Linked DNA regions of Drosophila melanogaster. The protein of the gene in region 1 interacts with the protein of each later gene in a pairwise test. Each region holds a gene or a part of one and is shown on either strand. Other genes may lie near its edges.

Region 1 (10,359 bases):
TTTCAGTTAATGATTTGTTTTCAATATTAATTTAAAGGGGAGTGCCGCAATGTGGCTGTGGTATTATTTCGCCTTTGATGGTCGGTCACTCTGCGCCGAAAGCTTCCGCGAAATTATTGAAAGCTATTTTTAAAGCTATTTTGGACCAGCTCTGCAGCTTTTTTCCATATTGATTAGTTATGTCGCTTTTGTTGTTTACTCGCCACATTTTTTTTGCCCAGGCCAGTTAATTGTGTTAATTCCCGGCGCGCGGGAAAAGAAAAAGAAAAGTAACGAACGACGGTGGAACCACGGAAGGACATAACTTCCGTCAAAAAATAACCATCACAAGCACCACCAACCGGATCCCAAAGGCGAGTCGCGAGCGAGCGCACAAATCCCCCGATGTCAGCGGGTGTGGGTGGCGGAGGGAGCATTACCACCGAGCACCACAGTCGCCTCTACTTCCTCAACTCGCCGACGGCGCCGCTCACCGCCCGCGATCCGTTCTTCATCAAGCCGGAGTATCTCAGCTATGAGAGTCCCATGCACCATGCCCTCTACTCGGGCAATCGGGGCCTCTTAGAGTACAACAACTATACCAGTTCGGCGGCCGCGGCGGCAGCCGTTGCCTCATCCGTAGCCACCTCCGTATCTGTGTCCGGTTCGGGTTCGGGATCAGGATCCGCGGGAACCGCAGCCAGTGCCTCAGCAAGTGCAGCGAACAGCGGTGGCAGTGCGTCTGGAACGGCGGTGCTGAGCCTCGAGAACAATTTCGCACAGCAGGGTAATCCCCACCAGCAGCAGCAGCAGCAGCAACAGCAGGGCAATCCCCACCAGGAGGTACTCCAGCAGCAGCAGCAGCAGCACCCCCTGCATCATCATTTGTCCGCTGGCGTTGTGGTCGAGGCCAGTCAACTTGGTGGCGTTCCGGGTCTTGCCAATCTTGGCGTGCCACATCTCAGCGCCCAGCAGTCAGTGACGCAGCAGGGCCAATCCTCGAGAGCGCAAAAGGCCGCCCGCCGGAGAAGCAACGAATCGATTGAGGCCAGGGAAAGGCGGCTGGAGAGAAACGCCGCCCGGATGCGGGACAAACGGGCCAAGGAATCGGAGGCCGAGTACCGCGTGCGTTTGGCCAAGAATGCGGAGGCGAATCGAGTGCGACGCCAGAACGAAACGGAAGTACAAAGAACCCTAAGACTGATGAAGAATGCAGCGCGGCAGCGACTGCGCCGCGCCTCGGAAACCGTCGAGGAGCGTAAGAAGCGGCTGGCCAAGGCCGCCGAACGGATGCGAATCGCCCGGGCCAGTGCGCCCAAGGTCATCAAGCCGCCGCTGGCCGACAGGCTAAAGGGTTACTAATGGAGGATCGTATAATCGGTTAGCCTGGATTCAGGCAAATACGCCCATTTGGAGCTGGCTCTCCGGCAGAGCAGCTTGGCCGAGCAGCCCTAAAAGCTGGCCAGGATCGGCAGAGGAACACAGACACATCTACAAATTATATATATATATAAACATATATATATATTGTATACAGCCTATAAGAAAAAAGTTTGAGATAAGGAAACCAGTCCGAAACCAGAAGGATTCTTGAGGACTTGCAAATGAATGGGCAGCAGGCACTCTAGGATTAAAGCCAGGCAATTTTTTTTTTTAAGTTAAAAATTAACAAGATGAAGTAACGTAATGTAATCATAAAGTAAAGTATTTTTATAATGCATGCATTATATTCGTACGATATGTATACACACACGACACAAAAACCAATCACACACACACAGACACACACACACCCCCAACCCCCACACACACATGCACTAGCATAGTCATTGCCACACATATAGAGCCCCCAAAAAAGGGCAGTAATATCCCCCACTCCCCCAGGAAAAAGGAAGCTTACAGCGCCAGGGTGCCTCACTGTAAATAAAAAAAAAAAAAAAACGGAGGGAAAATCGCCAACGACTGGAGGTACACCTCCCAAGCTTAACAAAAAGAAACCCGAAAAACTAAATATTAAAATAATTACTGAGCATCGCGGATGGACGAGGCAACAAGTGCCTTTCGAGGAAATCCTCGGGCGAAACTTGCTATAACATTCAAAAATCGTATTTTTCCACAACAACTGAGGCACCCTAGTGACGAACAACCCCCATATGTGTGTGTAAGTTGGTAAAGGCATGTAACCCAAAACGGACAGCGCCACTCACATAAGGATAATATACACACACTCGGCAGCTCCCACATAAATATATGTATATATACAAATTTATATATATATATATATATATATACATATATAGTTGGAGCATACACACATGATCCGTAGCCAGGCACATAACGCAATATTTGTTAAAGCACGCAATCCTTCCTCCCTTCCCCAGCCAACATCCAACCGCCCACTTTTCCTAGACCTTATCCTTATCCATATCCTCAGCCTCTTCCCACGCCCATGTCCTTCCGCGCGGGCCCACATGATATATACATGATATATATTTATATATACATATATATACATATGTATATATATATATTATGCTAATTATTATTAATAAAGTGTAACCATTAAGTTCTAGTCGAAATTTCAAATTGTTTTTCTCCTGTCTAAATACGTTTATCAATTGTTTTTTGCCTTAAGACATAAGATTGAGATACATTTTTGTGTATTGTAATATTCGTGTACACTAACAATGACAACACACAACAAGAAAAATCAACAAACAAAACACAACACCAAGAAAGTGAAAACAGAAACAGAAAAATATAAGCGAAAAAAAACGAGAATAACAAAATGAATATACTTGAATAAAGTTGCATTCACAATTTTTAAATGCTGCGTTCTGAGCTTTGGTGGGAATTTAATAGGGAATAGTGATAATCTAAAAAAAAGTAAAAGCGTTATCAACCGGAAATGATCAGGAATGGTTGATAATAACACTACAATTTTGAAAATTTCCTTCAAATCTGACAGAATGTCCTCGATGAACCTGAAGGGTGGGTCCCATTCTCAGGATCGCCATCCGTATGCTTGTTGTACATTTAAGTATCACAGCAATTAAACAAATTAAAAACTCCCATCTAAAATACATTTAAATATAAAATATAAATAATTTACAAACTCCATTCAGCACATGCTACTGAACTAATCCTATTATATATACGATTATCTACGATTATCAACGAAATGCTCTTATTGGAAATAATATAGTTTCTAATTTTATATAAATAGTTTAATTCACTTTTATAAATCGCATTTATTCATTTCAAAAAGATTTGAAAGCTTTGGAATGTTAATGCCCTGTTAACATAACATAACATAGTTGATTGTTATGTAAAGTAAGCTTTAAAACAGTGTGGCCAAGAGGCGAAAATTTGTTACAATTGAAATAGAATTATCCATGTCTTGACGTTACGCTTGATTTTTAAAAAATCGATTTCAAACATCAAGCTATCGACAAGCTGATCTAACTATAACATTAAGTATGGAAAAATAGTACATATATTCTGTAATATGGTACTGCAAAACTGCAGCCAAATAATAATATAAATATTATCTGCCTGCAAGACTAATTTCCAAATTGTAAAATAAACCCGGGCGATATTTCAAGCGGAACATCGGTTAATCAGTTGCATTTTCCAATGAATCGACAGCCTGCTCAACTATCGATGTATCGATACTTTTTACCATCCCTACTGTGAACAGAACGATTGTTGAAATGAAAACAACTGAAATAAGATGAATTAAATTAAATTAAAGATACAGTACCACGGATTGCGAACAAGTACGCATACTTCAAGTTAATGACATTACGGTGCGATCGGAAGTGGCAGATATACGCTGGTCCCAGCTATGTGGAAAATTCCCGGTAGTTAAGTTAACGCTGCGCCGCCACAGAACATCCTTTTAACCCACCAAGAGAAAAGGCGCCTGGATGCACCGCAGCACGGCGAATAAATGGAATTACAAATCAAAGGGTTAAGGTTTGTGCAAAAAGCAAAATAAGGAGCGGAAAAAAACTCGCACACACGTACGTTGCGTATTGCTTCGTTGCGCGTGTGTGTGTGTGTGTTTAGCAGTGCGTGCTTGTGTGTGCGGACGGCGGCTGCATGGGTGTGTGTGTATAATCATGTGAAAAATCGATTGGCAGCGCAGAAGCAGCGCGGCGGCGGCGCCAATTGTCACTGACTCGCAAGAAGAAGCACGCTTTTATGAAAACGCACGAAAAATTGTAATGGCCAAATACGAACGGTAATAAAGTGCATAATGCTAAAAATGGAGAAGAAGAATACCGCTCATAGCCAAAAAGGGAACGAAAGAAATGCCCGAGGACCACAATAACAATAGCGGAGTGATCGCCGCAAAAATAGAGTGCGAGAGAGAAACGGCGCCAGCACACACATATTCTTTATATAACTACTAGTAAGCAAAAAGCGAAACAAAACAAACACAAAGAGGAAACGCCAAGGAGCAGCGGACGAAAAAAAGAGCGGGAGACGGCCCAGAGCGTGCGAAAGAGAGGGGGCGAGCAAGAGCGCGGCCCCTAGATGTTATCGAAACAATCGGAAGGACTGCGCTCATCCTTTCGATAACCAAATACCCATCGTCTATATACACATATATAGATATATATCTATAAATATATATATAAATATATATATATACATAACAAACAGTACACTTTTGGAGCCCCGATAGACGACAATTTCGATTGTTGTTGCCCCGGCTTTTGACCAAGAATGGAACCAGATCCCAATGGGATAAAAATAGAGCCCTCACTTGATCAGCAGCAGTACGCCACCCATGTGCTGGCCATCAATGGCTCCAATGCCCGCCTGCTCATCGAGCATCCCTCAGCTTTGTTGGTACCACTCTCCTCGCATCACCAGCTGCAATTGCAACAGCAGCAACAACAGCAGCAGCACGTACAGCAGCAACATCAACAACAGCAGCAGCAGCATCAGCAACAACAGCAACAGTTCCAGCAGCAACATCTTCACCAGCAGCAACAGGATCAACTGCAGTTCCAGCAACAGCATCTCCAGCTTTATGCACCACTGAAGCAACAGCAATTGCAGCAGCAGCAATCGCAGCAGCCACCCACTCCATTGGGACCCACCAGCAGTGCCAGTTCCGCATCCATAACAGGTGCCTCCACCACTGGCCACCAGCAGAGGTGGAACGAGAGCCCCGAGGCACGCCAGCGCCGTCTGGCCAGAAATGCTGAAAGGATGCGGGAACGCCGGCAGCGCGAGAGCGAGGAGGAGTATCGCAAGCGACTACTCCGGAATGCAGAAGCCAATCGCCAGAGACGCCAGAATGAATCCGACATAGAGCGGGCCATGCGGCTAGTGAGGAATGCGGCCAGGCAACGGCTACGCCGGGCCATGGAGTCGCCGGACCAGAGGGCCAAACGGCTGGCCAAATTGGCCGAAAGGATGCGCATGTATCGCGCCAGCGAGACGAACGATCAGCGAAAGCTCCGGCTGGCAGAAATGGCGGCAAGGGCGCGCCAAAGGATCGCCAATGAGTCACCGGAGGAGCGGAAGGAAAGACTGAGAAAGCTGAACGATTATGCCAAAAAGGTCAGAGAAAAGAAGAAGGTACTGAAGCATGTTGTGGTGCACGGTGGTTCGTCGTCGGTGGTCGTCTCAACGCCGACATCCTCCTCGTCGTCAACGGACCAGCAGCACCACCACCAGCAGCAGCAGCAGCAACAGCAGCAACAACAGCAGCAGCAACAACAGCAGCAGGTGCTGGCTGTTGCAGCAGCAGCCGCAGCAGCGGCGGCAGCCAATTGTACTAACGAACACACTATCAATCTAAACCAGGCGACCACCACAGCGACGACGACGACAACGGACGAGGCAGGCACCCCGCAGCCCGCGGAGGATCAGCAGCATCTGGTGACAGCAGCCGCCTATCAGCAACACCAGGCCCTGGCCGGAGTGGAGTATATGGGACAGGGCATGTTTCTGGCGCCCGGCTCCCTACGTCCACCCATGCAACTGAAGCAGGAGCCACAGACGCCGCAGCAGCAGCAGATTACACAGCAGCAGCTGCAGCAGCAGCATCAGCGATACACCATCACCGGACAGCAGCAGCAACAGGTTACGGCTGCTCTGCTCGAGGGCACCGAGCCGGGCAGCATCTTTGTGCAGCAGATCTATGGCGATGAGGGTGGCAAGGGCACCGCAAAGCTGCTCCAGGCCCATGTGCCGCACTTCAGCATCGCCGGTGGCCAGCTGGAACTCTACCCGCACAAATATGCTGCCAAGAAGCAGGAACTTCAGGTGCGTATGCAGTAGGCGTAGTAGATAGCAAGAATGATCGGCGATAGCAACTAAATCACGCACACACACACAAAGTAACGCAGCAAAACTAAAGTTTGGCATCCTCCAGGAACCTCATCTTGCCCATGAATCCATCAATGTAATTTGTTATCTAGAAACACTATTTATTTGAAATCTAATCGGTATTAGAAAAAAAGGGCACTATCTACTTCCAGTAAACGTAAAATCAAAACATGATTAGCCTAATTTAGCTTGATTCCTGAATAATAACAATAAATGATTTTTACAGTTGCAGAGGAATTTGGAATCGAATACAAATTCGTAGCGCTGGTAAAATATCAAACAATTGCCAATACTCGTAAATTTCAAATATTTTCCTTGCAGTTGGCGAAATCAACTGCCTCAAAGGAAAATGCTTGAAACCGGAAAGTAGGAATTTTGAAAATATATAGAATTCAATGGAAATTGGCAGAAGAAGCGGCCAATGGACCTCTCTTTTTTTTTGCGCGTTGCCTTACCCGCATTTTAACTCCTCTTTTGATCAAAAGCGAAAATCGTATAAGTTTATTTCAGTTAACATTATTGTTCGTTGTTCATATTACTTGTGTTAGTTCTTTTTTTTGGTCAGAAGCAAATGAATTAATCAATCGTATAGAGTGTAGATATATGTAGCAATGTAAATCTTGAACCTAAGAACAAAATACTTTTACCAACCAGAAACAAACAAAAAGTGGTTTTAATTCCCTTGTACAGGTGTGCGTTCGTGTGTGTGTGTGTGTGTGTCCTCCATCTATCCCTTTCGCTCTATCACTCGCACTCGGTTCTTTTCGAAAACCAATCTATAAGACCACCTTCAATCACATCAATCAATCTTATCACTCAAATTACGAAATTAGGTTGCAATGATTTGTAAAATTCAATTACCGAAGATTGCTGTGATTGCGAAGATTAAGATTTATACCAGAATTCCAAACCGATAGTCCCATAACCCGCAGAATCAAACCGACTCACCCGTTGGCTTGCCAATCCCTTCTATCCCTTCTTGCAGTCGGACAACGATGCTACGGTATCAGCGGGCGGCAATGATAACAGCGGGTCTGTTAGCCTCGGCCACAACGAGACCAAGGTGATCGTGACGACGGCCAGCGGGGAACAGAAGCTGCTTAAGGCGACGCCCGGCCAGGCGCAGCAGCTGTATAATCAATTCCCCTACCTGGCCACCTTCCCTAACACCACCAGCAGCGGCAACAGCACCACCAGTACCACCAATGTCGGACACGTGGGCGTGGTAACGGCGGGTACAACAACGGGCGCCGGCGGTACAACCACCACCGCCTACTATCCAATGTACCACAATGGCTTCCAGATTGGCATCGGGCCGAATGCAGTGCCGCCGCCGTTTACGCCCGTCAACTTTGCCAACGCCAGTGGTGGCAATAGTCCCGGACAGTATAACATACTGGCGGCGAATCCAACGCTAACGGTCACTGGATTGGGACAGCAGGAGCAACAACAGACAGGCGCGTCGTCGGCGGCGGCGCCACAAATTGTGACCACACCTGTTGGCAGGGGCAGGCCGCGAAAGAATCCGTTGCCCAGCGAGGAGCAGCTAAAGGTGAACAGTCTGCTGGAGCAGGAGCTCAATCAGATGCTGTCCGCACCGCAGCTGGCCACCAGTACGCCGCGTCGCGGCAGGCCACTGTCGCAGGCATCGCAGCAACATCATCAGGAGCTCAGCCAGATTCATGTACATTCCACGGCCGATGGCGACAGTCGAACGCCAGTGTTGACGCCGCGACGCAGCGGTGCTAACAAATACGAGACGGAGGAGGAGAAGCGAATACGTTTGGACAAGATGGCCGCACACCAGCGAGCGGTGCGTGCCAATGAGACGCCCGAGCAGCGGGCCACGCGTCTACAGAAGCTGAGCGAACGGGCACGACTGAAGCGGGCCCAGATCCGAGCCACCGAGAATACGGACGAGCGCAAGGAGCGACTGTCCAAGCAGGCGGAATATGCGCGAATGCGACGCATGCGCAGCCACACGCCGCGCAGCAGCAGCGCCACCAGCACCGAGTTCCGTGCCAAAACCGAGGAAGAAGATGAGTGCCAGGACGATGACACCAGTGCCGAGCATCATATGTACGAAAGTGAAGCCGTTTCGGTCACTGGCACGGGCAGTGATGGTGGCTTCGTTTCGGTGGTGAAGGCCGACAACGACGATTCACCATTGGGCGGTGGCGATGGCTCCAACGATCACGAACAGTTGCCGGCGCTGCAATTGCAGCAGCATGAGCTGCAGCAGATTGCCGGCAGCCTTCAGCAGCAACATTTGGTGCCGCATCCGCATCACGAGGCGATTGTGTTGAACCAGCAGCACCGCCTGGTGACCATCAGTCAGCACCAGCAGCAGCAGCTCCATCAGCAGCAGCATCCTGGCTTCAGTAAACTGCAGACGGTCAAGGATTATGCAAATGCAGCCGGCGGTGGAGGCGGAGGAGGAGCTGCTGGTTCTGGCGGCGGCAGTGGAACGGGAGCACCCGAAAACAATGACATGCTAAAGATACTCGAGCCAATCATTGTGATGAAGACCAAATGAGGTTCGCGGAGGCGTCACAGTCGCAGCACCAATCGCTAGAAGGGATATGTGTGGATGACGTGCTAGCCAGGCCTCCATTTCCGCCGGAATATCAGGCGTTGGACGCACAAACGATGGAGATATCTGCGAACAGTAGGGATTGTCTATAGTTATCAATAAGCGTATATTTTTTTTTAATCTGTTTTTTAAAGTGTTAATGTACTTCAATGGTAGATTTTGTAAAAAGTCAGAGTAAGCGGAGATCAAGGATCAAGTGCAATACGGATGCCTGGCAGGCACAAAAGTCCACCGGAAACCCAGAAAGCTAAATGAAATGAAACACTGTGACGCCCCGAAAGCCACTGAAAATCGAAGAAATGCAGCTAAAATAAAAAGATAACTACGATCGATGGTGGAGATCCAACTAAACCTAATCCAGAATATGTAGCGCGTAAACAGAGCACTAAGTAGTTGTATGTATTAACTATTAATTTTTTAAATTAGCAAAAAAAAAGCAAAAAAAAAACCCAAAATAACAAATAAATCTAATAAGATCGAAACAAAACGGTCAATGGCAGCGGTGTATGGGATGTATGTGTGGTCAGCCAGTGGCTATCGGTTATCGATAGCAAATGCAGAGGCGAACGTGTTTTTGCATGTTGCACGTCTGGCGCGCACATGACGCGCATGACGCGCACCACATCCGCTGGAAATTTTTTCCAAAGGCAGCCTTTCTTTCTTTCTATTCCTACTCATTACGGTAGTGGTTGTCAGCGTGCAGGTGATGGAAAAGCTCTGGAGGATCTGTATAAAAATCATAATTAACTTTTTAAAAATGTGTTCATATTTTTTCACATTTTTATTGGTTTGGCAATTTTCTATTGATTTGCAAAAAATCTGTTTTCCACTCCTAGATTATTCTTCGTTTTACTGTTTGTCTTGCAGATTTTTATCAGTAGAAGCCCAAAATAACAAATAAATCTAATAAGAACAAAACAACACGGTCGATTGGCAGCGATGTATGGGACAGATGGTCAGCTAGTGGCTATCGGTTATCGATTGCTGATAACATCTTTTCATAAACATGTTTACAACGCTCCACAGCGAGGATACGGAATATTCGGCAGATTCTGTGGAGTGGCTGACACACGATGATGCGGCAACGGGTTTCTTTGCCTGCGGCACCTATCAGTTGGTCCAGGAGGAGGACGAGCCGGCGGCGGAGACTTCAGCCAAGCGTCCACGCAAGGGTCGCGTTTATTTATACCAGTTTGAAGAGGAAAACTGCCGCCTGGAGCGGCTACAGTGCATCGAAACGTCTGCCATTCTCGACATGAAGTGGCTGCCGGCCTGGAGCAGTGAGTGTAATCCCCACCTGGCCACGGTCAACTCTTTAGGCCAGATGGAATTGTACGAGTTTCTCCAGGATGCGAAGCTACTGCAGAGGCGTACGTGTTTTAGCCTGGCGGAGCAGGATTCGTCGGAGGAAGCGCCATTGGCGCTGGCCCTAGACT
Region 2 (7,621 bases), on another chromosome or scaffold:
TGCTTGTGGCCTACGACACATTGGCGTTGATTGCCTTCGTGCAAATAATGTTCCTAGTGCGGAGTCAACGTTATATACGACTTTACGGTCCAGATCCTTTGAATCCCGTAACAAACGGAGTGCAATCCAAGCAAATGGCATCTATTAATCCGATCTCACAACAGCCAATAATTATTTACGTAATGCCAAAAGCCGGGCAAAAATTGTGGGATTTGCCACAATCGAAGTGGTGGCAGGATGAAAAAACTGATGACAACGTTCCACAAAATATAAATTATGAAGAGTCCTCTGAATTTTTTCAGCGGCAGGAGCTTTTGTCAAAAGTTTTACTACGCAATGCCATCAAAGAAGACTATCTACACAAGGAAAGAGTTGCAATCTAAACAATTATGTGAAAGCCATTTTGCTGAAGAATTTAAAATGCATTTAAAAATTTAATTTAAAATTTATGTTCTATATATTGTACTACATGAAACAGCGGAGCAATCAGTTTCCCAAGGTATAGGGAATTGTATCCATTAGGTCTTATTATCTAATTGTATAAAATATAATATATTTTCACATTGATGAATAGCAAGCAGTGAGCATTAAGTTCAAAATATACATACTACTCGGTTTAAGTAGTAAAAAGAATAGACTCTTTTTCCTATAAAGGCATAACTTAGATGGGGCATAAATTCATTAATTACATTATTTGTTATATTATCAAAGTAATGTCACGTCTTGCAGGCTGAGTTCTTTCCGAAGAGCACACGATATTCGGGCTCGATTTTATTCTTAATAAATTTAGTCATTTCCTTCGCGTATTGAAGACGAGTGGAGTCAGCTTTGCTGGATTGCTTGATCCCAGGACTGTGCACTAGAAATGCGGGACTCAAGACATGGTATTCGTAGTCCAAAAGGCACATAGCATAGTTCTGCAATAAAAGGTTGCACTGTGAAACGGAAACTTGACTACAGTAGTAACTCACCTGTATGCGCTTGTTCGACTGACCCTCCCACGTGACGCGTTCGTCGAACAGTGGCTCCGTGTTATCGCTTACATAGAAGGGCTCCCAGGCTCGGAACTTCCATTTTCGCAGCGCCTTGCTAAACACGTGCAGATGGTCATCGGCTCGAGAGGTTCGATTGAGCCACTCTTCTTGGCCAGGAATAGTGTGGCATGTGGGGCAAAGCTTCAGGTGAAACACCTGCGCCTGCTGCTTTCGATAGAGGGCCAACAATTCGTCCTTGTCTACCGGCACTTTGGCGCCCGTTTCGATCTCGAAAACGGGTAGAGGATACACCCTTCTGCGTTGCCGCGGATCCAGTGCAAGGACACTGTGGTTTCTGGCCACCATGTCCAGGAATTGGTCGACGAAGCCCACACTGGGATACAGCTCGATGTCGCAGGCAAAGATGAAGTGGGTGTTGGTCGCCAGCCTGGCTATATTCCTGCCCACATTGATGGGGTACGTGAGGTTGGCCCTTGACTTGTAGCTATCCGTGGTTGGGATTTGCGTGTAGAGCGGCGATACCAACGATCCATTGGCCAGGGTGCACATGTGCGGATACATTAGTACCTCGGCCTCGTCATATGGCACGTATTCCGGCATGTGCTGATTTGGGAAGTACACGTGAAAGGAGACCCAGTCCTTGATGCTATCGCTCTCCGGCAAACAGTTTCGCACATACCGAATGGCATCCAGTGTGGTGTTAAGATCATAACCTGGAGTGTGGATGGCAAAACTAACTGGAGCACGCCAACTGGAAAATAAGTAAATTAAGTTAGCAAAGAAATCTTTATAGATTGCTATTAAGTGTTTATTAGATAAAAGAGCACTCACCGTGATACCACCATTTCCAGATTATCGAAGAACGTAAAGTCCCCGTTGGTGGTATACGTCACGGACTCGGCACAGCCGACTTCCCGACTCTTTCGTCCCATGACAAGATTCTGAAGCAGCCAGAACTCTCCGTGCTGAAGCCTCTCGAAACGGAGCGATCGGTCGCGGCACTTGAGCAATGATCGCAATTCCTTGGTGCGAGCGGAGTCCTCTCGCCGGATTATTTTCGGATGCTGATCATTGGCGAGATGGAAGTTTGCAGAAAAACGTGAGGGATTCGACTCGTTGGACAGCAAAAGTCCTACCGACTTTTGCCCACCAGTATTAGAAGATGCGGCCAGTTTCTGGGCCTGCTGCAGGTTCCTCCAAACCAGCAGGAGTGCCACATTGAACAGTATGAGCACTGGCCACAGACGGACATATTTCCTATTGCAAAAACTTATGGTCGCCATGCTGATTTCGAGAACATTGATTCACAGGAACTCCTTAACTAACAGAACACAAAGAACTTATTGACCTGTGAACGGAAACAGAAATATTGATATAATTCCGTTGAAAATGGATATGGAAATCGAAAGAAGAGTTTATGGCAGCGACTGAGCTTTTTGTCTGTAGTTATGTCTAATTTACTGGGCCTATTGTATGAACTGAAATTAGTGCTGTACTCATCCGATAAGATTCCATGTAATGTGGTAGCATGCAAGGGGGTTCATCGATGTTTTATAATGTTCTGATAATGGGGCTGCCCAACAATGAAGATGACTACCTCCTTTTACCCAGTAAAACTAAACATGATTTACGTACTCTGATAAAAACGGTGACATTTATGGTACCATACACAGAGAACAACTTTTCACTTTACCGGCTGACACTTTCATTTCCATCGACAAGAGTTTGCACATTAAAGATTAACCCATTTTATGACGTACGAAACGACGCAAATTGTTTGAGGGATTTTTTTCTGTTAAGATTAAAAGTTATTTCACGAACGAGACAGACAACATTCGGCGATGAATAATGGAAACAGACTAAAATTACTGAAGTTCCCGCGAAGCTATCATAGTTCAAGTGATTTTCTTATCCGTCTAGTTATCAATATTGTCGTATTTTCCTATCCTTATCATAACAATTCAGTAGACGTAACCAATTGATAGCGCTAATCGAGTGTTAGCCAAATACATATATGGTCAACAGACGATTAGGCGGCATAAACATGTATTTCTTACTTTATCGATTTTAATATCTTATCACTATAATCAAATACCTTTAAAAAAATTTTCTAAAAATAGTTTTCTTTTGAAATCGGATTCTCAAGTATTTCATACTGCGTACTTATGCTAATTAAAAGGGAGCTCATTCTGTTAGGAATGAACTTACTAAACTAATAATAGTTCGGTAATTGAGTCAATTAGTTGTGGTTTTCAATTGTCAAAAAATTTAAATTTATTTTGGCGCCGATAAGCGATACTAATAGTGTACTAAAGTTAGTATTTAGTACTTTTGTATCGATTTTCTTATCGATAAAATTGCTAATTTAGGGCCATCCCTATTGTCAATGGTGCGTTTGTTTACATTCACAAAAGTTTCAGTTTCTGCTGTAAGTAATATATACACGTCTAGCCAGGATGTCGGACAACGATTACGAGCGTTTCGAGATAACGGACTACGATCTGGACAATGAGTTCAACATCAATCGGCCCCGAGGCCGCCAGAGCAGGCACCAACAGATCTACGGTATGTATTGAAATACATGCCGGAATTTGTTTGTAAACGAACTTTCTGTAGGTATTTGGGCGGATGACAGCGAGGAGGAGAGTGGTGGCGAGGGCGGAACTAAGAGAAGGGGGCGCGCCGCCCGTAAACCCAAAGACTACACCATGCCCGTCAATTTTGTGGCCGGCGGCATTCAGCAGGCGGGCAAAAAGAAGAAGAAGGCGCTCCAAGCCGATGATGAGAAAGGATCGCAAAAAGAGGGAGCAGAGGCTGACCAGGGCGAGGAGAGCGACGATTCCGCCGCCAGCGGACGGCCAGCCTTCGGCCAGAACGATCCGGGCAGCTCCAACAGCTCATCAGAAGAGGAGAGGCCAACGCTGAGCCGGAAACAGCCAAGCACCACATTTCAGCATCGCTCCCACATCGCCAGCGAGCGCAACGTGGGCGCCTGGGAGCAGCATACACGCGGCATTGGAGCTAAGCTACTCCTTCAAATGGGCTATGAGCCTGGCAAGGGTTTGGGCAAAGATCTGCAGGGCATTTCGCATCCTGTGCAAGCCCATGTCCGCAAGGGCAGAGGTGCTATCGGCGCCTATGGACCCGAAACTGCGGCAAGCATCGGAGGAAAGACGAACAAGAGCATCAAAGTGGATGAGGACGTGCGCGAGGCGAAAGAGTTCAAAGACCAGCTGAACAAGTGGCGAAAGGGCTCAGCCGGTGGCGCCGAACCAATGGAGCGGCAGGGTAAGCGCTACTACTACAAGTCCGTGGAGGAGGTGATTGCCAAGGGTCACACGTCCGGCCACCTACTGTCGGAGAAGCTAAGCAAGAAACTGGGCAATGTGCGGGTGATCGATATGACAGGCCCAGAGAAACGAGTGCTGAGTGGCTATCATGCCTTGGGACAGGCAAAAATTACGCCAGAGGAGACGCTCTACGACACGGAGGCGACGGAAAAGGGATCCGCTCCCGCCTGCGTTTTTGCCATGCCCGAGCTGACGCACAACCTCCAGCTCTTGGTTAGCCAGTGCGAGCAGCAGATCATCGCCATCGACAACCAGGAACGCGAGTGTTCCAGCCAGCAGGCAGCGCTGGAAAGCGAGCACCGGAAACTGGAGGAGATAGTCCAGCTAGAACGAAACCACATACGCACGCTGGAGGAATCGTTGGAGCGCGTGGAGCGGTTAATCGATAATCCAGACTTGAGTTTACCTCAGGCTGAACGACTCTTTCGGGAGCTGCTCGTGGACTACGCTGCCGAATTCCATGAGTTCGGACTTGCAGATCTGGCAGCCGGTGTAATAGCGCCGCTCCTGAAGCGAGAACTAGTTCAGTGGCAGCCACTGGAAAACCCAACGGAACCGCTGCCACTCATCAAGAAATGGCGCGGCATGCTCCAGCAAGGAGATGCAGCAGAGCAGCAGCCCCGCAACGTCTTCGATCCGTACTCCTCGCTCATCTGGGCCGGCGTGATGCCTTCGTTTCGGTCCAGCGCTGCCGCATGGCAGCCGAAGGAGCATCCGCCAATGGCTTCACTCCTAGATGCCTGGGCACCCCTGCTACCTAGCTGGGTCTTGGATTCGGTTCTCGAGCAACTGGTTCTGCCACGACTGGTGGCTGGTGTCCAGGAGTGGGATCCGCTCACCGACACCGTTCCGATCGACAGTTGGGTGCTGCCGTGGCATGCCATCTTGGGCAGCAAGCTGGAGGAGGCCGTCTATCCTCAGATCCGCAGCAAATTGGGTATAGCATTGCGCGCCTGGTCACCGCATGACCGATCAGCCAGAGCCATGCTTACGCCCTGGCAGAAGGCCTTCCCCGAGGAAGAGATGCAAGAGTTCCTGCAGCGGTACATAGTGCCCAAACTGCAGGCGACTCTAGGCGAGCTCATCATCAATCCAATGCACCAGGACCTGGAGCTGTGGCAGCAGGTATGGGAGTGGCACGAGCTCATCGATCCCATGTACATGGCCCAACTACTGGACAGACACTTCTTCCCGCGCTGGATGCAAGTGCTCGTCGTCTGGCTGAATCAGTCGCCGGACTACGCGGAGATCTCGCGATGGTACACCGGCTGGAAGAGCATGTTGAGCGAACCGCTTCTGCGCGAGCCCAGCGTTAAAGAGCATCTGCGGCGAGCACTGGAAATTATGCACAGAGCCAGCGATACCCTGCTGCAGCCCACGGTGACGCCCACGCCCCCGCCTCCAGTTCCTCCGGCTCCAGTCATAATGATGGACCTGATTCATCCGCCCGCTCAGCTGGAGTTCAAAGAGTTGGTATCGCAGCAATGCGCCGACTTGGGAATCATCTTCGCTCCTCTGCCAGGGCGACGGGAGATGGGCAAACAGGTGACTGTTAATCCATTTTCGACCACAGAGCGTTATATACTAATAGATTTATTGCATTTACAGATTTATCGTGTGGGAAAGCTGTTTTGCTACATCGATCGTCACGTCTGCATGGTCAGCGATGGCAGCTTCAGCAACTGGAAGCCGGTGTCGCTAAATCATCTGCTAGAACGCTCTCAAACGGGAATTCTTTAAATAAATAGCTGCGAAAATGTTTAATTGGCTTGGAAAATGTTTAATTGGATTGGATCAGAAGCTTAGCTCTTGCTGTTCCCTAATAAGTTTGTAATATAAGGTGATTGTATGATGAGATGGCTCTGCAGATATAAGCAAATGTCTAAATATATATGTAAAAGTAATCAGATATATTATTCTGTATAAAATTGAAACGGATTTGAATATTTTTGAAATTGATATGATTACATCCAAGTTTTTCACCACGGTTTGGGTCCGAGCTGCATGCTCCATGAATTTAAGATGTAAATATACTGGCAGTATTTTTCGGTATATATTTATTTTGTGGGAGCATGGGTTTGTAACGTGCGCGTTGAAGTAGAAGTACACTAGAAGTATCTTTAGTGTCTTTGGTTGAACCGATTAATAAATCTTTAAAGTCGAAATTTGATTGTTAATAATGTGGTTTATGACATGGATTGGCTGTGGTGCTAGAGAAGGCGGCATTATTAAATAAATTTAAACTCCTTCGCTGTGAGGCGGATTTCTGGAAATCGGTGGATAATTTTTAAAGCATTTTTCAGGATCATTATATAATTAGGCTTAGCCTATTAGCCTATAGGGACACGGTAGTTTAGATCAGCGGGACACAATTCGCAAAAAAAAAGTCCCCGAGTTCCAATTTCCACCGTTCCGCTATCGTCGCTAATTTGACGCACATTTATTATACATTATTATTATTATTATTATTATTTTCTTCTCATTTAACTTTTTTTACAAAAATATGGAAATAATGTTTGAAAAACCGGAGCGGCCCATGCAACTAATCGATATCCGCAGCCGGGCAACGATGATGGATAGATAGATAAATACATCGATAGTATCGGCTTGTCATCGGCCCGCTGCCACCTCTGGCCATCGCAGCTGACTCTAGAACGCGTCGTGGAAATAGGAATAAACTGACTGAGTTCGCGTTCGGTTCGTTTGGCGCACGCAAAGCAAGCAAGTAGTGAGCCAGATGCGGTTCGAAACGGTGCAGTCAACTGAAGCTCGCGTAGTGCAATACAATTAATTGTAAAACCAAGACACAAGCACTCCTATCGCGATAGGCACTGTTAGCAAATTGAAACCGCGTGTCTTTCGTTTCGCTTCTCCCGCTCTTTCGTTGCACTTCGCCCACACTATTCGCCAATGCAGTCGTGAGTGCGTGTGTGCGTGCGTATTCCCCCCCAAATTCAATGAATTCGACAGGCGGTGCAATAAAAGCGCAACTAAAACAAAAGTGATTCCACCACGTGCGCCACTCTCTCGCGTCTTAAGTTCAGTTGTTGTAGCTGGTTTCGTTTGTTTTGCTGGCGTCTCGCTCTAACAGCTCCCACTGCTAAATTTACCGCTCGCCGAACAACCGGCACGGAAATATCCGTTGGATTAGGAGGACTCACTAACGGGACACCCGCAAAAGGACATCAAAATGGTGCAGGTGTGTAATATATTTAATTTTAAAGCACGACTATATCAAAGAAGCTTAAATGGTTGTTCAATAATATTCCTGAACAT
Region 3 (6,445 bases), on another chromosome or scaffold:
TAACGCTGGTGGTTTGACTGAGGAAGTAAATAAAGTGAGCGATAGGTTGTCATGTAAGCCAAAAGCTATCAACAATACTGGTGTTTGCAACACAGCTTGGGAAATACATATTTCCATGCAACTCGGTGCCCACCTGTAATCGTAGAGGGTGAGGTTCCAGTGGCCTTTTCTGTTCATCTCAGTACCCAGCATCTTGGCGGCGAACTCGTACTCGCCCTCCAGACTTTTGTCGGGGAAATACTGAGTGTAGACGATGCGCTGGTCCTCTGGATCGGCATGGAACTTGGTCACCTCGGATCGCGCCCATCCGTACTCGGATACATTGCGCAATATCAGACGAAAGCTGCCCAGACCCTGTGATTCACCTCGTCGCAGCTCAACGTAGCTACAGTGGTGCGGGTCAAAGGGCTTGATGTTGTAGTCGGGCACACCTGAAAGAGTTGCTCCATGATTGCTCGCCCGTAATCCACATCTCACTCACCTGTTGTGAAGTAGGCCCTTAGGTCGTTAAACACCTGCCGCATGCACTCGTTGAAATCCTCGTCCGACCAGTGGCAACGACCCAGCAAGTGCTTCAGATCCGTATCCACGTCGATTTGGCTGGACGCGTTTGCCAAGTGGTTGGCAAAGAGCGAAATCCCCGCCAGGTAAACCAGAAGGCGAGCACAGTTTGAGAGCGACTGTTGCGACATGCTCGTGGTTTCAGTTTAACAGCAACTGTTTGTCTTCTGTTAATTTCAAAGGTAAATGTACGTTATGTTTTTATTGTCTTTATTGTTTTGAGTAAACTGATTTTGTGGGCGTGAAGAGCAACCGGTGTTTGTTGTTTAAAGTGTCCTTGTCTTTTGCATACAGTTGATCGTCTACTGAGTTGTTATTAGTTAGTTAGTTATTTTTTCTTTTATTGATTTATAAGTAGTTTATGGTGCTTTTTAAGTTCCTTGATTTCAGGTAAATTTCAATAAGTTAGGAATATGAAAGGCATTAGATAGGCATACAAAATTAAGCAAAAAAATGTATCGCTGAAAGTATATGTTAGCCATCGGTTAGTTGTTGAATCTTCATTACTACGAAAAATGTATTTGATTTAGTAATTGTTAAATACTTTTGTATAGAGTTGTAATTTTTCCAAGATAGTAGTTGTACAGTTATCATACGAATTTTATATTTGCATGAAACTTAAAGACTTATTATTATAATTGCCATCGTAAAGACTTCTCCTAGCACCGAAAATAAAAGACACTTCTTTCTCATCGCAAGCTATTCAAACAGCCTCATCTTCATGTAGTTCGTTTTGTAATCTTTTTGTTCGCCGCATGCACTTGACCCCTTTAACTTAAGCTCACCGACTATTACTGGGCTGAGTACTGCAGCAAATAGATAGCGTAAAAAGAAAACTACAAACATGACAAAATCGTGCGTTAGTATGGAAGCATGGTAACAGTGGTAAACGAAAGACTTCAACAAGACACAAACTTGGGGGTGCGAACAACTTTTAAATCCACTTAGAGGCGGCAGCCAGTCATGCAACGCGAGAGCAACAACGTATGATAATATTTGGCAATTCTTCAGTTTAGCGGTTGCATTTGCAACCAAGTTGACCAACGGTCAGTTATTTAACAAAACAAGTTACCTAGCTACTTAGTTTAGTTGAGTTTTCCGAACTCCCGAGCTTTAGTTTCACTTCCAGGCAATTTACTTCTGGTTGTTCCAAATATATAGTGTAGCCAAATATGAAATTCTGGAACTCGTACGCAAAGGCGCGCAAATATTCGAGAATAATAATAGCTTTACAGTTATTTGCGCCGAATACGCGACGTGAATCAGGCGAGCTCCCGTAGCCAACTGAACCACTCGAAGACGTAGGAAACCAGAGAAAAAGAGCTTCCACCAAAAGTGGCAGCAGCAGCCAAATGAGCCATAATAAAAAAAAAACCACAAAAATAGCAGGAAAATGTTTGAAAGCCATAATATGGCCGGGCACAAAATTGAGCTTTGTCAACTCGGCTTAGAGTTTGACACCCCCAAGTCGCGTTTCCTCATGTGCAAAATGAACAAAATTGAACAAAACGGTCGTAAATCACCAGCAGAAATCATTCATAAATTCCTTTAGAAATGCGTAGAATCATTTAATTGACCGAGATGCGCACTAACTGATAACCATTACTTAGCAAGTTATTATTAATATTATTTCATATAATTTTATAGCATGTTTGATAATAATTCATATTAATGTCCCAAAAGGTGAACAAAAAGTAAATACAAAATTCATTTGAAATAATACAAACACTTTAACTATAAAATAACTTTTCATTTCTCTTAACACACTAAATATTTCTTGAACTTTACATCAACGAGTTGAACGACCTTAGAAATAAATATTTCCTTCGCTGTCTATTTCAAACAATAACCCATCACCGCTGGTTGAAAAGTGATCTGAATTTAATGAGGCAATATTTATTAGACAATCCCATGTCCGTCAATGGGTATTATTCAAGTATGAAATCAAGTACTCACAGCCAGCGCTCAAGTTCATGGGATTGAATAAATCAAGCGACGTGATTGACAATCGTAACGATTGACGGCAATGCTGCCGGTAGGCCAGAAGAAGATTTTGTGGACTGTTTCTTTTGGCAAATGAAAATACAAGGTTGCAGCTTCAGTTGTTATGGCTGATTGCGATTTAATGAAAGGACAAGGTCGCTCTTACAGAAATTCAAAACTGGGCTGAAAACATGCGCCAGCACTTTGTAGCACTTTAAGTGCGATAACAAATGGTGGGCATAAACTGGAAATTCTGCTTTAATTTTGCTCAAAATTACTTAATTTTATTACAATCACAGCCTTTAGCACAATTTTATTTCTTTCGTTCTGTAACGTTTTTAGATATATTTTTTTTAACTAAAAGGGCCGTGGGAAGCATTTTGTAAACACTTTATTAAAGGAGGAAGCATTATTTTTATTTTTCTTCTCTTCTGATGTTGGAATCCTTCCCATTTGACATGCATATTTAAATTACAAGTTTTTTAAATTACAAAGTTAAAAATAAATGAAGCCTTTAGGTATTTTTAGATATTTTTAACAATTTCGAATTTAAAAGCTTGATAGAAACTTTTATCTTATAATTCAATCTTTATAATTTATAGTTTACTCTTTATTAAATAAAACCCAAATATTTCTTACAAACAATTTTATACATTTTATTAAAATTTGTATGTTAACATTTCCCGGTTTGAGCTCAGTATTTTCTGTAATTTGTATGTTAACAATTTCTTATTGGAGCTCGGTATATTCCTTTCAGTAGGTATTTTCCCCTGCGCATAGATGGTCACACTAAGCGGTTGCTGGTTTGTTTATAGTTTTTGTCCGCGAATTTTACTTTAACTTTAGCTATAACTAACAATAATGGAGGTGGAATTCAGTAGGGAGAACTTCCTGCTGCCGGAGATGAAGTACGAGTGTGAGTAGTTCTTCGATTTGCAGGAGAATAATCTGTTGCTAAATATTTCATCACATTGCGTTGCAGACCTGGATCACACGGCGGATGTTCAGTGAGTAAGATAACAACAAAAACAACAAGTGTGCCCGTTAGCCATGTGGAGTAGGGTGGTTCGCTATTTGTGAATGAAAAATCCAGATGATCGTATAAACTAGATTCTAATAAGCGCTTTCGTATTAGAATTTGAGATATAGCAAACATTCTGAAAAAGAATTTATTTTAATTTATACATATTTTAAAGCCATTATAATTTTTCATATTTTCCCAAACCTATGTATTATGTTCATAGTTAGGGAATACGGCTTTTTAAACGTCAAATGTATCTGCTTTTTTGAAGATTATATGTAATGCAAGTTTTTTCTGACTTTTATATTATACTACTATCGCTTAAAACAACAAGACTATTATTAAGTAGTAGATCATAAATAATTCTTTTACTACGCCACTAAAAGGCAGCAGTTTTGTATATAAATTATAACTTACGGCTACAATAGACATAATTAATTTACTTAATATAAACGGATGATGTTGGAATCCTTCCCATTTGACAGAATCCACGGATGGGGATCGTCGCTGAAAGAGGCGTTCGAACAGTGCGGAGTGGCCATGTTTGGATATATGACCGAACTGGATTACGTGTCCGTGGAGCAGTGCTTTGAAATCGAAGCGCATGGAGATGATCTGGAGAGCTTACTCTTTCACTTTCTGGACGAGCTGCTGTTCCTGTTCTCTGCCGAACCGTATCTGGTGTGCAAGAAGCTGGAGATCACCAAGTTCGATGTGGAAAACTTCGAGATTTCCTGCCATTGTTACGGGGAACCATTTGAGCTGGGGAAACATCCGCAGGGCACCGAAGTGAAGGCAATCACATACTCGGCCATGCAAATCATTCAGGACGTGGAGGCCAGCAACTACGAGGTGTTCGTGATAATTGACATTTGATCCAGCGGCGATCGCCGGGAATTAAATGTGACTGTTCTGTTTCAACCCCTTTGCCTGTCTCCATTAATCATAAGTGAAATGCCAAAAAACGATATAAAAACCGCTGCATAAGCCCCGAAAAATTTGCAATCTCTCGTGCTGCGACTGCATCCCTTGTCGATGAGGATGACTTATCAAGAAACCACTCGATTGTGCGGCTGCAAATGCAATTAGGACTGGCTTCCTTCTCACCGGTCTGATTCCGGAATCAAGATTTACCCTTTTGCCTTCGAATTTTTTGTGTACTATTCACTTTTTTTTTGCCCACTGCTTTGTGAATTGGCAACGTGTTGAATTCCCAGACAAATGCCGAATTTGTTGTCCTTTCCCAGGCCCCAGTTCAATGCACTTTTTATTCGGCAGCCTTCAGGAGTTGCTGACGCGTTGGGTTGCATTAAAGAATTAAGTTGTACTTCTTTTTGGGGAGTCATGTCGAATAGGGCAGTTAACAATGCAAGTCAAGGCCATAGTTTTAATGTTATGATTGACTTGATTTGTTCGACATAAAGTATAGAGAATGCGGGGCCTAAAAACACAAACATATTTTTTTATCAACAATAATTTAGTTCAATGAATGTAAATCGTAATAAATATCTATACGATTAAGCAATCCCTAATTCTAAATATCAATCCACGACGATATCAACAAATATTAACGCTTTTCAAAAAACCGATTTCCTTTGAATAACGCGCTATTCTCGAATCAGTATTATTCGGATGATTTTCGCGTGAGCCGATGTTATTTAGTGGCCGATGAGCGAAGTCAGCTGGTAACACCGAGCGATTTGTTTTGAAACAGCTGACCGCACCGTCAAAACCCAGAAAGTAAACAACAAAAAAAACATTTGCCGGGCAACGTCGCCCAACATATGGGCCCGTTCTTGTATTTGTGTGGGTGCGTGCGTGCACGAGTATGATGATTTTTCCTTGGAACATCGGGCGAAGAACGGCGAACTGAAAAATATACGCTTTTACAGCTGATTGATATTAAAAAAAAAGCAACGCTGCGGTCGACGAGCCATACGAATGAGCGTGCGAAAGAACAAACAAAGTATGAAGGCAAATAGCCCGCGGACACACACGCACACACAAACGGCCAGTTGGTCGATTCGCTTTTAGCTTTCAGCTTTTCGAGTGCGTCAAAGTTAAAGTGGCTGAAAAACTTGGTAAAAGTACCAATCGCCAAACTGACTACAAGACAACAGTTATTCGCGGTTATATTTGGCGGAAAGTGGGTGGCACACACGTCAGTCGCCCGTACCGCTGTTTGTTGTTGTGTTTGCTGTTGCTTTCCAATTCGCCCCGCCAATTCGCCGCACCGCTCATTCTTTCTGCAGCCACCAATTGTCATGGTGTTAAAGTGAAGAGGAAGCAGCAGCCCGTGAGCACATTGTGCGCTAGTTGTTGCCGTTTTACACCCAGAAATCGCGGAGATATCGCCCTGAAAGCCCAACCAATTGACAGGTGACGATCTCACCTATAATTTGCGATCAAAAACACAAAGCTAACCCAAGGGGAACCTAGTGAAAAACGTGGCCGAAAAATCCATACGAAGGCGGAATGGAAAAAATGTGGTAGGTAGTACTAGAAGTAGAGAATGTGACATGTGTGTGTGTGTGCATGGTTGTGCGTGTGTGTGGGGGGTGCTGCGCTGGGCATTTTCTTTATAACAGCGGGCCGCAAGCGAAACAAAAAACAACTGTTTTTGGGCGTGCGCCCAAAACGCCGGCTAAAAAAGTACATATGCAAAAAATTGCATGCCGGTCCAGCTGACATATCACCTGCATCAAGAATAAGACGTATGATGTGAGTAAAGTGTCGCGGGCGGGGGGAAGAGACAACCAAGGGTGCTGTATGATAATGCGCACTTTATATAATTGCAGCTACCTGCCATCTCTAATGTTTCGTGCTTCTATCTGTATGCGTATATGGGTGTGTGGGTGTGCGGGTGTGCAGGTGGGTGGC

The links.
Region 2: the proteins of CG14442 (region 1) and sip1 interact in a two-hybrid assay, tested with the Drosophila melanogaster proteins (one large-scale study listed by BioGRID).
Region 3: the proteins of CG14442 (region 1) and Archease interact in a two-hybrid assay, tested with the Drosophila melanogaster proteins (one large-scale study listed by BioGRID).

What each region holds. Positions count from the first base shown.
Region 1 is NC_004354.4:6,688,311-6,698,669, reverse strand, and holds CG14442 (uncharacterized protein), read left to right. Parts: upstream 1-3,668; 5' UTR 3,669-4,713; coding exon 4,714-6,267; intron 6,268-6,556; coding exon of another isoform or gene 6,557-6,592; exon of another isoform or gene 6,593-6,597; intron 6,598-6,651; exon of another isoform or gene 6,652-6,988; intron 6,989-7,315; coding exon 7,316-8,866; 3' UTR 8,867-9,374; downstream 9,375-10,359. Other genes in the region: CG14440 (uncharacterized protein), read left to right, coding at 385-1,341; CG3184 (uncharacterized protein), read left to right, coding at 9,930-10,359.
Region 2 is NT_033779.5:5,717,685-5,725,305, forward strand, and holds sip1 (septin interacting protein 1), read left to right. Parts: upstream 1-3,366; 5' UTR 3,367-3,451; coding exon 3,452-3,560; intron 3,561-3,611; coding exon 3,612-5,890; intron 5,891-5,953; coding exon 5,954-6,085; 3' UTR 6,086-6,260; downstream 6,261-7,621. Other genes in the region: CG34011 (uncharacterized protein), read left to right, coding at 1-383; CG11149 (uncharacterized protein), read right to left, coding at 717-1,746, 1,827-2,278; CG11030 (uncharacterized protein), read left to right, coding at 7,536-7,544. UniProt on the Drosophila melanogaster protein: May be involved in pre-mRNA splicing.
Region 3 is NT_033777.3:21,659,825-21,666,269, reverse strand, and holds Archease (archease), read left to right. Parts: upstream 1-3,297; 5' UTR 3,298-3,405; coding exon 3,406-3,460; intron 3,461-3,526; coding exon 3,527-3,551; intron 3,552-4,050; coding exon 4,051-4,441; 3' UTR 4,442-5,084; downstream 5,085-6,445. Other genes in the region: Jhbp16 (juvenile hormone binding protein 16), read right to left, coding at 1-17, 134-431, 482-692. UniProt on the Drosophila melanogaster protein: Component of the tRNA-splicing ligase complex required to facilitate the enzymatic turnover of catalytic subunit RtcB.